Drosophila melanogaster: one gene and its partner. The gene in region 2 interacts genetically with the main gene of each other region. Each region holds a gene or a part of one and is shown on either strand. Other genes may lie near its edges.

Region 1 (7,804 bases), on a different chromosome or scaffold from region 2:
GGGATTTCGCCGGTTCTAGACAAGATCCTGGAACGATTGGAGAGCATTCAGGCAAGCAAGTCAAGCAATCAATCGTCGGAAGAGGAGGAGGAGAGAAAGCTGCCCTGCTGCTTCGTGGATCCAGCTGATGGTAAGAATAGGTGGTAGAGCTAAGATTCATGTATGTATATAAAGTTTAAAACTTCAGGTGCGCCCTGCGATCTAAACGGATCCTGGGAATCTCAAGTCCTTGGCATTCGCATAAATATCAAGACCCCGCCAACAAATTCAGATGGCGAAGAAGCGGAAAAGCCGACCTGTAGCCAACACAAAGGTCGTACCTATCGCAGGACGAGACGACAGTGCGTCAAGATGAACAGGACGCAGTTGAAGGATGCGGCCGACTTGAAAACTCCCAATTACCATGGCATTAAGCTAAATATTAGTGTGCAGGAGACAGTGCCGCCGAGGGCCCACGATCTCCTGGATAATCTCACCGATTGGTATTTCTCGGGACAAGCTATGATGATCCTGGGCGGGCCACTTTCTCTATCCTTCCGCAAGGCGAATTCCAATCTGATCGGTCACTTTGTTGGCTATTGTCGCACCTGCGGCTGTGTGGACACCATTTTCGGTTCGTGGAGCTTCTGCCAGCCGTCGCGGGATTGCCAGGACATCTGCATGTCGATTGTGGACAGACGGGATATGCTACGACGATACAGTATGGATGAGCGGCGAAAGAATCGATTCAAGGAGCAGCTCTATATGGGCAGCAAGTTCGCCAAAATGGAAAAGGAGCGCCAGCTGGCCGAGCAGGAAAAGTGCCACAAGCTTGCTCCTCAAGCTTCGCGCGAAACGAATGGGAATCCAAACCCATAAGACAAAGCTGAATTTAAATTAATTATTATTTAAACTTAATTTATTTTGATAATTTGTTACTAATTAGTTCGTTTGAAAGGATTTGATTATTAAAATGCATTTTGCAAAAAAAAGGTGGCTAAAGGAATGTCCTTAAATTATATCAACTGATCACCAAGTCGTGAGCTTACATTCCATTCGCCTGGCTCATTTGGTGGTGAATGAATGACATGGTGTATCCAATCGAACGCCTAACGCAGTGCACGTCCATCTGGCCATCCAAGATGCACTGCCTCAACTGATTGACGGCGTAGTTCTCGATCCGTTTCTTGGTACTCTCGTTGTCAATTCGTTCCAGTCGCTTATCCACCTTGTGCATTAGAATGAATGCCTCTGGGAAGTGACCCACATCACAGGGCCAGTTGACAGAGTGCGGATGCGGGTGGCTTAGACTTGGACCTTGGGACGAGTTGTCCTCCTCAGACCAACGAATATTCCTGGCCTGCACCAAAGCCAGAGCCGAAAGAAGTAGAATCACCAGAGTTGAGTTCATTTCAACGATCGCTGTTAAACTGTGCCAGTCAATTCTATAACTAACCCTTTTATAGCCCCAAAAGCAACAACAACTAATAACTGATAATGCAAAAGGGCTTTGTCCTCACAATGTTGCTACTCAGCCACGAGTTTTTCAATTATTGACAGAGGTCAATGTCAAAAATCATTGATTAGCAAATGGCTGTATTAATGTATTAATTAAAAGAGTGTTTGCCGATCAGCAAACTAAATGAATCATTATTTGAGGCAAATAATTTCTATAATACAAGTGTAACAAACTATTGTTGCTAAATTACATTAAATATATATTTAATATATTAGTTAATAGGTTGCCAAATTTTTGAAAATATAAAAATGTGATAAATCACTTCCTGTTATTGTTGATCTTTTCGTTAATCCAATTTACGATCTCCTACCCAGATAGTATAAGTTAAATTATCAGATTTCGAATATAGAACACAACATATACCTGAACACCAGACCCTGTCCGCATGGAACATTCCTCAAAAGTCCAATCTCGACCAGTTAGGCGATATAGGCCCATCAAATCGATAACCGTGGACATGGACAGGGATCCCGAGGCGTCCTTCTTGTTGGACACGATCAGCAGCGGAGCATTATCCAGTTCCTGGTGCATCAAAACATCGCATAAAACACATCGCGCCTCGCTTAGCCGCAGTGCATCCGTGCTATCCAGTACAAAAATCTACGGTTCAGGGATTGTAGTCGAGTCTATATAAGTTCTATATAAGTTCTCCTCTCACCAAAACATTCACTTTCTTATAATACTTTGGCCAGATCTGGCGATTCTTCAGTTCTCCGTTAATATCCCACAACTGGACTCTGAAATTATTTATGGTGAAGCTCCATTCACTAACTTGATTGTTAGATTCCTTGGACTGCAAATAGTTTATGCTAACATTATCAAATGGAGATAGGACCATCACATATATGGCCTTACTTCTCCATTGAAAATTTCCGCCAGGCGGTCTGTCAACGTGGATTTTCCCGCATTGTCTAATCCTAAAATGAGCAGACATGATTTCTGAGAGCCTGCGGGCAGGATCTTTTTTATGAACGAAACAGGTCCGTAAAAACACATGGGGATCGAAATTTGATTTCAGTTTAGATGTCAGGTAAAAATGAATGATTTAACTAGCATAGCCTTCTCAACTATATATTCAGTTTATACTTAAAGATACACGTGAAAAAAGGAAGATTCATCCAACAATTAGAGATTGTGATACTTTTGGTGAGTTGAAATGTAGGTACGTATATTTAGTTCTTAGGGACAACTTAACAGGCGACGATTACTATAATTTAGATTACTTCTTCATATTCTTGCAGACCCAGTCCATTCCCTCCTTTAGTCCAGTGCCATCCACAGCGGTACAGGCCTTGATCTCCCAGGTTCGTCCCTGCAGTTGCACCAAGCTCATCTTCTCGGCCACCTCGGCGGCACTCATGGCATCCGGCATATCCTGTTTGTTAGCGAAAATCAGCACGGGAACTTGCTTCAACCGATTGTCCATGAGCATTTCGAATAGTTCACTACCCGCCTCGGGCAGGCGAGTCCGATCTGTACAGTCAATTACATAGATCTGAAATAATCGAAACTATTAGCTAACAGAATTGAGTTTAGATCTATAACAATCCTACCAGCACATCAGTATTCGCAAAATAGTTCTTCCAATATGGACGTATCTTCCATTGACCACCAATATCCCATACATTCAGTTTGAAACCATCGGCTGCCACGGACTTGATGTTAAATCCTGCCGTGGGCGTTACCTGCGGGATTTCACTCCGTATTTTATGGGGAAAACGGAAGAAGTTCGCCGCCTTTATACGCACCGTGGTTATGTCCTCCGATGCCAGCTGCTTCAGTATCGTGGTCTTGCCAGCATTATCCAATCCTAGGAGCAGGATGCGAGCCTCCTTTTCCGGATTGGGTCTCAGTTTACGCAACAGCGATAGCAGACCCTAAAATTTGTAAGCTATTAAGTTGTTGTTTTTTCTACTTAGTTTTTTGAAGGTGTGTTATTCTAGCACCTGATTACCAGTATTAGTCTAGACTCGGTAGTATCCTCTGGTCTATCTTTGAAATTTTGAATAACAATCTACATTTGGTAGTTTATAAACTTGTAAAATTGTTAATAAATATATGTGTTTTTATAAATGCAACATATGCTTGTAAACACACATGTTTTGTTATTATCAATGTTGTTATCAATAAAGACGATGTAAAGTTGTAAAAAAAAAACTTGCAATTAAAACGTTCTCTTAGTGATAGAATGCAAAAAGCTTATCAACAGGTGAACTTTACAAACATATTGTTGGAATTGAGATAAGGGCTCGCCAAAAGAAACGACAACAAGGTTGAATGAAATAAAAATGTTTATTGGTAAAAAAATTTGCCATGTTCACTTAAAAATTAAGAACTCTTTTTTCCATTGTGTGCTACAAAAAGCTTATTATGTTTCTTTGTTTTCCGAACCACCAATTTGGTTTTTTTTTTCGAATACCGATAATTACGCGCCTAAAACTTTCGAAGTAGTGCTGAAAAAAGTTCTGCTCTAACAAAAAAGTGTTGTATAGTTTTTGAGGCGGGTTTCCATGGCGACGATCGCAAAATGAAAACAAATCGTGCAATTACGGAACAACAAGGCACTTAATTAGCTGTTACGGAACCGGGAGACAACCTACCATCGTATAATTAACGCGAGAATAACAGCCAGGAGGCGGTGCGATCTCCGACCACTATATCCGTATCTGTATCCCCCCGATTCGGCAATCTGCTCTGGCCGCCCAAGACGGTGTCTTCTGGTGGTCAACTCAGGAAAAGTCGGATAACTTGAGAATTGGATCAACTTCAACCACCAAACACAACATCACTGGCTCGTCGCTGCACAACTACTGAAAACAAAATTCGCTCAACGCTCTAACAAATTCCGACAGCAACAACAACAGCGCCAACGGTCGCCGAGCAACCGCTGCAAAGGATTGTTAGACGGGGGACGTGGTGGGGGTGCGGGTCGAGCGGTATTCGAATTGGAACGGGAACGGGAAGAAGATGCCGCTGCTATTTACGGGCTTCAACGCATTTGGCCAGCATGAATGTGTAAGCGGCGACGTCGACTGCGCAGCCGGCTTCAGCGGTTTGTAACCGGCAACAAAAGCCGCCGATCACTTAGTTGCTACAGTAGGCACTCGCTATAGAACTCGCTGGGATGCATGCAGCTTATACCATTTTTACAATTCTAATTCTATCTTATAAAACTGAATCCGATTTAAGCCAGATGAATTTTTAAGATTTCATGTTTAAAATAGAGTATAGTGATTTTCAGGTGAATATATACGTAGGACATTAATCCATAAAATTCTTTGCATATTCATATTCATGCATTGGATATAGACTGCATTTTAATTGACAGTTATAGGGTAAATTACACATCGGTACTTGGTGCCAACTGCATTTTTTGATTGGCCAAATACATACATAGCAATGAAATTGATAAACTAATAACTTAGACAAAATCTTTTTAGGGGGCTTCCACCGTATGTATGTATGTGTACTAATTCAGTTCTGCCTTTATTACAGAATTAAATGCGCCAGTCTCGACTCAGAACCAGTGCACGATTTCGATCGGCTGGCGGTATGCGGCCCTCGCTTTTGGCCGGAAGTTGTGCCTGCGTGGGCTCTTGGATGATGGCCCAAATGAGTGCGTGACCCTGGAAGCAACGGGGAACATAAGGGCCCTTGCCGCTGCCGATTCCCACTGCCTGGTGCTACTCCAAAGCGGTCAGCTTTACAGGGTGCAACCAAAACTGCAAGCGGAACTGGTGGCTGTTAGACTAGAAGCTGCTCCCAGATCCAATTCGGGTACAAAGCGCTCTATCTTTGGGGCTGCCAAGGCGCCTTCGTCGCCGATCATAGAGCATATTGCATGTGGATCGCACATAAACGTAGCGATAAGTTCGGAAAACTGTGTCTACAGCATTCCCAGCTGCCTGCATCAGTTTTCCGAGCGCCAATTTCGGGTGAAGCAGCTCCAATGCGGCCATGAACATGCCGTGCTCCTCAATGCCAATGGCGACGTGTTCACCTGGGGAAATGGACTGTAAGTAAAGGTCATAATGAATGCGTTGGCTGTGCAGAAATGCAGCCTATAAATATTTACATATTCTGGTTTTAAGATATTTAGATATTAGCGAGTTTCTTATTCTAATTCCTAACAATTTTTTTCACTTCTATGTCATAATTAACAGACGCGGACAGTTGGGTCTGGCGGAACTGAGAGTGGAGGAGACGCCTCAATTGCTGGAGGCGCTGGCGGGGATCAAGGTATATATATATTTGACTTGTCCACTTATCTTGTCTGTCACACATTCAAGTGCCTTGCAGATAACTCAAATTGCTGCCGGTGGTTGGCACAGTGCGGCCATATCCGCCTTTGGAGACCTCTACACCTGGGGCCTCAACTGCAGCGGTCAGCTGGGATTGCGTGTGATGAAACCCGGTGGCGTCCTCAAAGAGCCCACTGTATTTCCGCTGCCCCAGTTGCAAGATCTGCCCGAATGTGCCTGCTCCCAAAGCGGGGAGAGCAACGATGATTGCGCACCGCTGAGGGTGTTTGCTGGATCTCGTCACACTCTGCTGATCCGCCGATGCGGGCGGCTATGGGTCAGTGGTTGGTGCAAGCACGGTCAACTTGGCAGGCAGCTCCAAGACCTGTCCTATGTGGATGCTTTTCAGGCCCTGGAAGGTATCACGATGAACCCTACTGTGGATGATGTTCTCTGTGGGCCATGGTCAACGCTGCTCCATTTGAAGGTAACGTTGGATTGAAGACACATACATATGTACCTTTTAAAATGGCTTCACTATTAAATCTACTGAATTGAACACAGCTTGGACACAAACCAATTTACATGTCAACTTGGTTGCCTTCATGTAAAATGTATTGCCACACATTTTACTTGACTTTTATCTACTTTGTATATATGTACAAAATACGTTGTATGATGAGTAATTTAACATTTGTATTATATTGCATATATTACCAACTTATGTAGATAAGTAGGCATTGGAATAAGTGTTTCCCCACTATTTTAGTACTTTTAAATTACCAAAGACAGGCTGGATGAGCGGATTGCCCTTGAGCATGGCGTAAGTTAAGAAGTATGCAGGATCAGAGTCGTTGGCCTGTAAGAAACTTCCTCATTCCCAGTCCCAGTATATTCTTTATTCTAATATGGCGTATCACCGTGCAAATGATGTATCCATACGGATACATGGACTGTTCGCTGCAGGACGCGTTGGATAATGAGTATCTGGTATGGAACAAGGGCGATCACCGGGAAAATCAAATGATGCTGATAAGGGAAACCGTTCAAACCACACTCCTGCTCGTGCTAATGATAGAGGTGATGCTGACGTTCAATATTCCGATTCCGATGGTCATAGGCGCCGGAATATAGTCTCGGCTCTGAACTCTGTTCCCGCCTTATTGCTATAGAAGCTCTATAGCTACAGTCCGTTTATTGTCCCATTAAAACAAGAGTGCTCAAATAATTTCGTCTTGGGGTAGGACCGCCATTGTGTCAACGTTCGTCGACTTTGTCGTTGTCGTCGCTGCACATTTAATCAGTAAATTTTATTTTTAAAAATGGTATTAAACAATATTTGCCATAGCAAAAGTCCGACGCTCGCAGTGCAATAAACTTTTCAGCACTTGAGCCGTTCGCCTGACTAAATGACTGATTGACTGACCGACTGATTGACTGACTGACTGACTGACCGACTGATTGGTTGGAATTTCTTTTCTTTGTTTTAACTTTAACTCGGCGCGATTATTTCGATTTCGTGGAAGTGCGTTACTTGCAAAGGTTTTGATAGGAATTTTATGCGTCATATACGGGATATATTCGATACGATAACAGTTCAATTGATTCGACTGGGAAATGCTCATTTCGATTGCTTATAACTTCTTAAAGAGGAATTTTTATGAAAACTGTACGCTTCTGAGATTGGATTTTTAGCTGATTATAAAGCCATATATGTAGATATATTTATACTAAAATTGAAGTATGTTTTTTCCAATTTTTCGAAGAGAATTTTATACAGTTTCTAATAGATTTTTTTTCGAAATTTGCATTTATTATAGTCAACATCTACCGTTGCCGATCCTATAGGCGAATTTTCCGCTTTATGGTCCGCGATCGAGTTCAACGCTTTTATGTTATTTGCCAAATGAAAAAGTAAAAACAAATGTTTATCTTATAATGCACTGGGTGGCAGGCAGTTCAGTGCAGTTCTGGCGACACGCACACATGTGGTGCGTAAACAGGCTTTGCTTTTGGGTCTTACACTTCATTTCTTATTTTTCCGTTTTTAACTTGGCAAATATTG
Region 2 (7,804 bases):
AATTTGCACTACTAAGAAACAAGTAATGATTAAAGAATTAAAGGAATTACCTGTTGTTGCCAGACCGATGAGGCCACCAATATTTATGGAAATTTCCAACAAAATCTAGATTGATTGAGCACAACTACGAAGGTGTAAAACAACAATAGAAATCGTCGCAGCTAAGTTTTGGGTTATCTATCAAGTGGACTAAACTTTGCGAAAAATTTAATAAACGAAATAAAGCACATATATGTAAACAGCCGCCAAATATGCCGCGAATTCTTTTATTGTAAAATTGTAAATTTTGGAAACCGTGCAGCTACGAACGTTTGTGTATCACACAGGTTGCTTTTTTGACAATTGCTTCAAGACTCCTTTGATTTAACAAAGCGGAGAAATGTGCATAAAAACTCTAAATCGATTAGATTAGACAAAAACAAAGCCCAAGCTAACCCTTGATTAACCAAATGCATGCCGTCCGTATTAATAAAAACGTTTATATTTCAAGTTTTAAGTATATGTATAGCTTTTCCTTTCGTATTTGTGTATGTGGAGTTATGTGTTGTATGAGTTAGGAGCGCAGAATCTCGGCTACGTATACCTCGTGTGACTGGCTATCAATTATAGGGGCGAAGTAAACATAATTTGGAAAGAGGGGTTCAAACTCAATCTTCACTAATTACCGTGAGTCACCGAACTAAATATTAACTTAAAAGCGATTAACTATATGTAATTAGAAAAAAAACGCATTGTGTAAATATACGTAACTGTTTTGGTTTTTTAGCTAAACTAGACGATTAAACAAGATTAAAGAGTCAACAAATTGGTGTTTAGGGGGGAAAAGGAGTACTGGTGGGTCATACGATACAAATCAATGTACATAAACAGTATTGAAAATAATAGACAATGAGGTCGGGGTGAATCAACAACATGATGACTTTTCCGGCTCTGCTACGACGAGATTAAAGTCCAGACTATTGGGTCGCGAAAAGCCAGACTTGATGCCGTCCCATCCATCCTCCGCCTTATATTCGCCGGATCGAATGCGGGCGTACACCTCCTGGGTGACCATGCGAAATGCCTCCTCCACATTGGCACCAGACCGGGCCGATGTCTCAACGAAATGCAGACCGTGCTGTTTGGCAAATTTTTGTGCCTCCTCTGTGGTCACCTCCCGGTGTCCGCCCGCATTGATGAGGTCCAGTTTGCAGCCGACCAATGCGAAAACGGGGCGGTGGGGCTCAATGTGACGCTGTGCCTCCATCATCCACAGCGGTATGTGCTCGAAGCTGGCGTGATTCGATATGTCGTAGACCAGCAGCACGCCAACCGAGTTCCGGTAGTAGGACTTGGTGATCGAACGGAAGCGCTCTTGGCCAGCAGTGTCCCACAGCTGGAGCTTGATCTGTGTGCCGTCCTTCATTTCGATGAGGCGGGCAAAGAAGTCGACGCCAACTGTGGGATCGGATAACTGCAAAATGTAAATATTGTGTTATTTATGATTAGGTGGATTCTTGGGAGGCAGTAAAAAGAAACGCAGTTTAGAGCTGTAATGCTTTTGAGAACACTTTTGATTCCACACAATTCATGATATCTCTATGTTTTTAAATTTCCCGCGCAGTTATTTGAGTATCCCTGGTCCTATTTTGGACTTGTGTGTTGTTTTTGCTGCCTGCATTATCAGGCGAGCACACAAACATGCACACCAGCACACACACACACTGACAAGGTGACTAAGGCAGCATCTTTTTAAAATCCACTCCCTTTGTCTATTTTTTGTTGTATCTCGCCCAATGCAATCACTTAATTATGTAATGAACGCATTAACTGCATCTCACGAAGATCGCACAGTGGGCCAAGCGTCCAAGTACAGTGGCCAAAATCGTTGGACATACGCACCTCGGCGAATTTGCCGTCTGTGAAGAATTTGAGCAGCGAGCTCTTGCCCACGGTGCTGTCGCCGATTAAAATCAGTCGAAATTGATACTCGAAAATGGGTTCCACCATTCCGAAGCCGAATTCGAGGGATTTGTCTCTTGGAATTGAATCCGCAGCAAAAAATCTGCCTTCCCTTTGTAAAGTTTGATACGCAAATCGTTGATTTGCTTATGCTGCTCGTTTTTCTTCTTATTTCCTGCAGTTGTATTGCAAATCGAAACTTTCTGTTCTTCACACGATTACTGGCTTTGCAATGAGATATTTCCGGCTGTCGCTGGTGGTTGTTAAATTATAAATATTCGAGAATTCAAATTCCTTCGAATTTTGTTTTGTTTTGTGTTTTTTTCTCATATGCGTGCGCGTGTGTGTGATAATGACAACGTTGCCAGACCAGCAAAAGTAATCGATAGTAGCCACAATGAAATTATTTCATTACCATTATTAAACAGTTATATCTTCTAAATTATTTAATAAAAATAGTGTCCTCACATCAATTTGGCAGTTTTCAGATTTTTTAACAAGCTTAGATGTATTTTTCGGCGGTACACAAAAACTAGCTAGACTTGGCTTGAAAACGGTAACCGGCTAATGGCAACACCGCCAGTCTGGCACCGCCGCCCAATAGAGATGGTCAAAGAACGCGATTTCGCGTGACACGATGAATGCATACAAATGTAGTTAGTTTAAATTGTTCTGAGAAAATATGACAAAAAAAATAAAATAATCTTTCATATTAAGCTAATAAATTTACAATAATTACACAAAAAGATTTGGCCTTGTACAGTGCTTTGACACATAAATTAAGACGTGCGTGTTCATTTTCGTTCTAGGCTGTCTCGTGCAGAGAAAAACCCATCGCTAGTACGCACTGTATTTTCTTTTTACGTTTGTTTTCCGTGAACACCGTCCGCTTCGTATTTCACAGCACACAAATGTACAAACAAGCCGCCGGCCAATCAAAAGCAACAGCGGAAAATAAGATCCCTTTGTCAGCAACCGGCAACCGGAGTCGGTGAATCAGCCGGAGGCTCCGGGATACGGAATCCACCACGTTCTCCTCCATCTTCTTTGCCTACTCCTCCCCCGATTTGGTTACGGAACCAATATCATTACCGTTAATTATAGCCACAGCGGGGCGAGAGCATATACAAAATCTCCATATAGATGTTCAAGTTCGTGCTGAACGACGCCGCCAGCTACGTGCGATCCAATGTGCGGGAGTTCAGTTTGAATGCACTGCGTCTGCTGCCGCAACTGCCTCAATTGAGTCCATACGATGTAAGATTTGGGGTTCCTGGCAAGTGTCATTAGCAAGCTGGGCAGGGTTCGTAAAATGTAATCAGTTTGTAAGATCTTCGATCGAAAGTACTTCTTTACTTATTAATTATTTTGGATTTTTCCTATTGAAGCTACTTTTAGAAACCACAAATCTATGCATTACATCCCTAAGCCGTTTAAAAATTTAACTATAAAGCCTGCATAATTTTCTGAAGATCCAATAACTACTTTCAAGGGCTTTCAAGAAAGTCCCGAGTGTTTTCCTATAAACAAAGTGAACGACGTCGACCCGACTGTATTCGATTTTCCATATTCATATTTCAACTACAGCAACCATTTATAATGCCTTTACTGAGCAGTTAATTTCATTTGATCGTTTGCACTGGACAAGAGTCCATACCAAGCGGCTTAAGAACAAAATTTTTAGGAACCGAATAAGAATTAACTGATTAATAACTATTACCATGGGAACCTTTGTAATTCCCACATAAAGAGTAAGAATCTGTATTAATGTAAACTATTTTCACAGGTTAACCTTGTTCTGAGGGAGAACGAGTTCGTTTACAACTTTCCCGTGGATGGAGTCATCCGCAGCTATGAAACAAATCAGCTGGGATCAAACTGGCCCTGCGAGGATTCCCGCACGGAGGCCAGCTTCCTGCACCGCAACGGCTTCATTTGTGGCATTTTCGACGGGCATGCGGGAGCAGCATGTGGCCAAGTGGTGTCCAAGCGACTGCTTCGCTATGTTTCGGCGGCCACGCTGCCGCGCCAGGTGCTCCGGGAGCAGATGAAGCAGGGTGCCGACAGCCAGTCGTTCCTCAAGTGCCACAATGACAACGTGGACTTTGTTAGCATGATCAAGCCCATGTACGAGGCTAGTTTCCTCAAGTATGTCAATCAATTGTTAGAGACACCGCAACGGGATGTATCCAGTGAACTGGTGAACGCCTTCCTCCAGCTGGATGAAGAGATCTCGCAGGAGGCTCTGACCAGCAACGATGTACGCACCATGAACGTGGCCCTTTCTGGTGGGTGATGTATCCATTTATTTATGTATATAAGTTGCCATCCCGTTTCATACTTTCCTCTTCATAGGGGCTTCATTTCTAAACTATAAATGTGTTTATTTTCCAGGAGCCGTTGCCTGTTTGGTTCACATTGAGGGACTGCAGATGCACGTGGCCAGCACGGGTGATTGTGGCGCAGTGTTGGGCGTTCTTGATCCCCAGACGCAGCAGTGGCACTCAAAGAAGCTTAACATCGAACACAATGCTGACAATATGTCCGAGGTGCGTCGCATTCTGGCCGAGCATCCCAAGGAGGAGCATGAGACGGTGATCCGAAACGGCAGGCTGCTTAGCCAGCTGGCGCCGTTGCGTGCCTTTGGGGACTTTCGCTACAAGTGGTCCCAGGAAATAATGCAGCAGAAGGTGCTGCCGATGTTCGGCGTGCAGGCAATGGCGCCGAATTACTATACGCCACCGTACCTAACCGCCCGCCCCGATGTCCAGCAGCACGAATTGGGGCCCAACGACAAGTTTCTAGTCATCGCCAGCGACGGCCTATGGGATTTCCTTCCGCCCAGCGAGGTGGTCAGCTTGGTGGGGGAGCACATCAACTCCAAAAAGATCCTCGAACCGATGCGCCTGCCGGAAGGCGATACAACGCTGCAGGAAATCTCTCAGCAGCTGGCCGAAAGAAAGTCAGTTATCCTTTAAATGTATGCTTGTTATTTATTTATTTATTAATTACGCTTTTATTGCATTGCAGGGCTGGCCTCACTCGCAAACCCGTAGACCAAAACGCGGCCACGCATCTCATCCGGCATGCTTTGGGCGGCACCGACTATGGGATTGAGCACTCGAAGATCTCGTACTATTTGACGCTGCCCAGGGACGCGGTGCGTCTGTATCGCGACGACATCACAATCACTGTCATCTACTTTAACTCGGAGCACATTGCCAAGCTGCACAGCGATGTGGATCAAACGGAGGTCACTGCGCCGGTAGCATGATCTCTGCGAGAGTGCATATGTGTATATTTAACGAGCCTAACCTTCAGCCGAACTAGCCTAAGTGTTGCGTTTAAGTTTGTTTCATCCGCCATCGGACCTCGGACGACTGCTGCGCCAAATAAATCGCACGCGGAAAGCGAAAAATCACATATGCAAATTGTCTTGTTATTCATAAAGAGCGATGATCGGTCGTCTCATTTGTTAATAAAATAAAAATGACATGAAAATCCCAGCAAATATGTATATATCAAGGGTTATAAGCAATCAAGAAGGTTTCTTCATATATTTATTTCTCAAATAGTTCGTGATTTTGTAAAGTAGATACTATTTTTTCTTTTAAAGCAAGTACTTATATTAATTTTTGCTGTTTAAAATTTACAAGCAATTCGTAATGTATATAATCTAATTCAATTTAAAACTTCTTATTCTATAATTTACGCCAATTTTCTTGTTTTCAATTTAGTTCGGTCTATAAAACGGGGGGGAAACCAGGATAATCCTAAGACTTAGGTATAGATCATCTGTTGCAAACAAGCTATTCAACTTTAAGAATTTCGAATTGTGTAGTTTTCGAGAATCGATTTATTTTCTTTTATTTCCAATTACAATTGATTGTAACGCTGGCTAATATATATGTATATATATTTTTACTCGAATGGATGGTGTAGAGGGGTGAAGGATACAGGGATCCGGGGTTTCGTGGGTGGAGGATAAAGCTAATTGAAGAACGCGGAATCCACGAACTTGCAAACTGGTAAACGGTACGCATCCTAATCCTATACATGGAAAAAACTAGGCAACTACTCAGGGATCGTATTGGTTGTTTTTTGGGGAACATAACTAAAAACAGGTGTCCCTAATCCTTGCCATCCTGTTCGGCCGCTTCCTGCCGGCTGACACAGTTGAGGAACTCCATCTGAATGTGCGTAATCTGTGTCTTGCTGAAGCACTGCATCTTCTTCTTGAGAAAGTCAAAGAACAGATCGAGCTCATCACGCTTGGCCAGTGCCTGGGCCACTTGTTGCTGCTGATGCTGCTCATCCTCCTTGATGAGATTGTTAGAACTGCTGGCCGCCGCACTAACGGCCAATGGCTGGCCAGATCCGCAGTTCAAGGGGGGCATCTGAATGATCGTGGCCGTCGGCGTGGATGTGAAGGATGTGGTATTGCACAGCGCCGCTGCTGGCGTGGTAGTCACGGTAGTCGCATTCAGAGAAATGGCCGGCGTGCTTGAAATCGTCACACTGGTACTGGTCGCCTCTGTTACATCCACCAGGGAAATTTGCTGCGTTGACACTGAGGAATCATGACGATTGGTTGATCCACCGCCCCCAGCCGCAGGAGACGTGGTTGTTACCAGCGTGAGATTCTTTACCTTGCCATCGGTTACCACAGTCCCACCGGTTAGGACACTATTTGAGCCATTGCCCGATCCACCGCTGGCCGAGAACTGATGCTGGCTGGAGCGAACTGTCTGTGGCTCAATGTCCGATATGCAAAATTCGTGTGTATCGATGTAATGGAAACCCTTGCCGTGGGTAACATCGCTACCGCCGTCCACGGCGTCACCCACACCAATTTCGCAATCCACATGGGCACCGCTGGCCTCCTCGTACAGGCACACCTCTTCGTAGTCCACCTCGGCGCCGGTTGCCCCGTCCTCGTCCAGTTCGTGCTTCACAATATCCAGCTGACCGTCGTGGTCGACCACATCATCTTCGTCATCGACATCATCGACCACATCGTCATCGTGGGCAATCTGGGAGAGCTCAATGCTGGAGATGCTGCCGTCGTGCTGCGACTGATGATGATGGTGGTGGTGGTGGTGGTGCGGCTGGTGATGATGCTCCTGCTGGTGATGGCCATGATGATGGTGATGGTGGTGCTGCGATACAGTGTCATCCGAGACGCCCTCCTCGTAGGCGGTCAGGATGAAGGTTTCCGCCTCATCGCTGACCAGGGTGATCTGCGAGGTGCCGTGATGTGAGGAGAGCGTGGCGGTATCGTGATCCGATTGCCCGTCATCGTCCATCACCTCGTCGTCGTCATCGTCCACATGCTGTTTCAAATGCAGCATAGCTCCAATGGGCAATGTGGTACTATTCGCGCCTCCAATGCCTCCACCGGCGCCGGCAACCCCACTCGTCTCATAGGTGATCTGTGTGTTCCGGTGCGATTTCAGTTTCGGCTGGTACACCTTCGACAGGAAGTCCAGCTCCTTGGCGTAGCGCCACTTGGATAGCCGCCCTTCGATGTACTTGGGCGTGCGCAGACGGTACTGGTGGAAAGTGTCCCGCAGGTTCTTCCACTTACGACGCACCTCCTGCACCGTGTACTTGTCTGGAAGAAAGAAAGAGGTAGTATAAATATGAGCGGGGTTTCAAAGGAATCGTATTCCTTTTACAGATAATTGATACAAGCTAGAACCTCTTCAAAGGCATCACATTTATGAAAACGTTTCTAAGTAACGATGAAATTATGAGTTGTGTTATAGTAGCCGGCGCCAGAACACTAGCCTATCAATACAATATGCATGTGGTATTTAAAACCAACTTTAGCGGAAGCTTATATTAATTCTGGAAGAAGGCT

The links.
Region 1: of Rab39 (region 2) and dnd, changing one suppresses a phenotype caused by changing the other (phenotypic suppression), as found in Drosophila melanogaster (one study listed by BioGRID).

What each region holds. Positions count from the first base shown.
Region 1 is NT_033777.3:21,883,042-21,890,845, forward strand, and holds dnd (dead end), read right to left. Parts: upstream 4,315-7,804; 5' UTR 4,102-4,314; coding exon 4,099-4,101; exon of another isoform or gene 3,988-4,098; intron 3,376-3,987; coding exon 3,247-3,375; intron 3,184-3,246; coding exon 3,052-3,183; intron 2,994-3,051; coding exon 2,718-2,993; 3' UTR 2,635-2,717; downstream 1-2,634. Other genes in the region: CG31465 (uncharacterized protein), read left to right, coding at 1-130, 188-858; fit (female-specific independent of transformer), read right to left, coding at 1,025-1,390; CG17819 (uncharacterized protein), read right to left, coding at 1,757-1,804, 1,862-2,098, 2,157-2,291, 2,354-2,494; CG6678 (uncharacterized protein), read left to right, coding at 4,466-4,550, 4,994-5,513, 5,662-5,737, 5,798-6,226; CG43844 (uncharacterized protein), read left to right, coding at 6,577-6,873.
Region 2 is NC_004354.4:7,729,413-7,737,216, reverse strand, and holds Rab39 (Rab39), read right to left. Parts: upstream 2,295-7,804; 5' UTR 1,990-2,294; coding exon 1,882-1,989; intron 1,454-1,881; coding exon 905-1,453; 3' UTR 461-904; downstream 1-460. Other genes in the region: Pdp (pyruvate dehydrogenase phosphatase), read left to right, coding at 3,085-3,198, 3,728-4,229, 4,336-4,903, 4,972-5,215; CG12155 (uncharacterized protein), read right to left, coding at 6,072-7,555.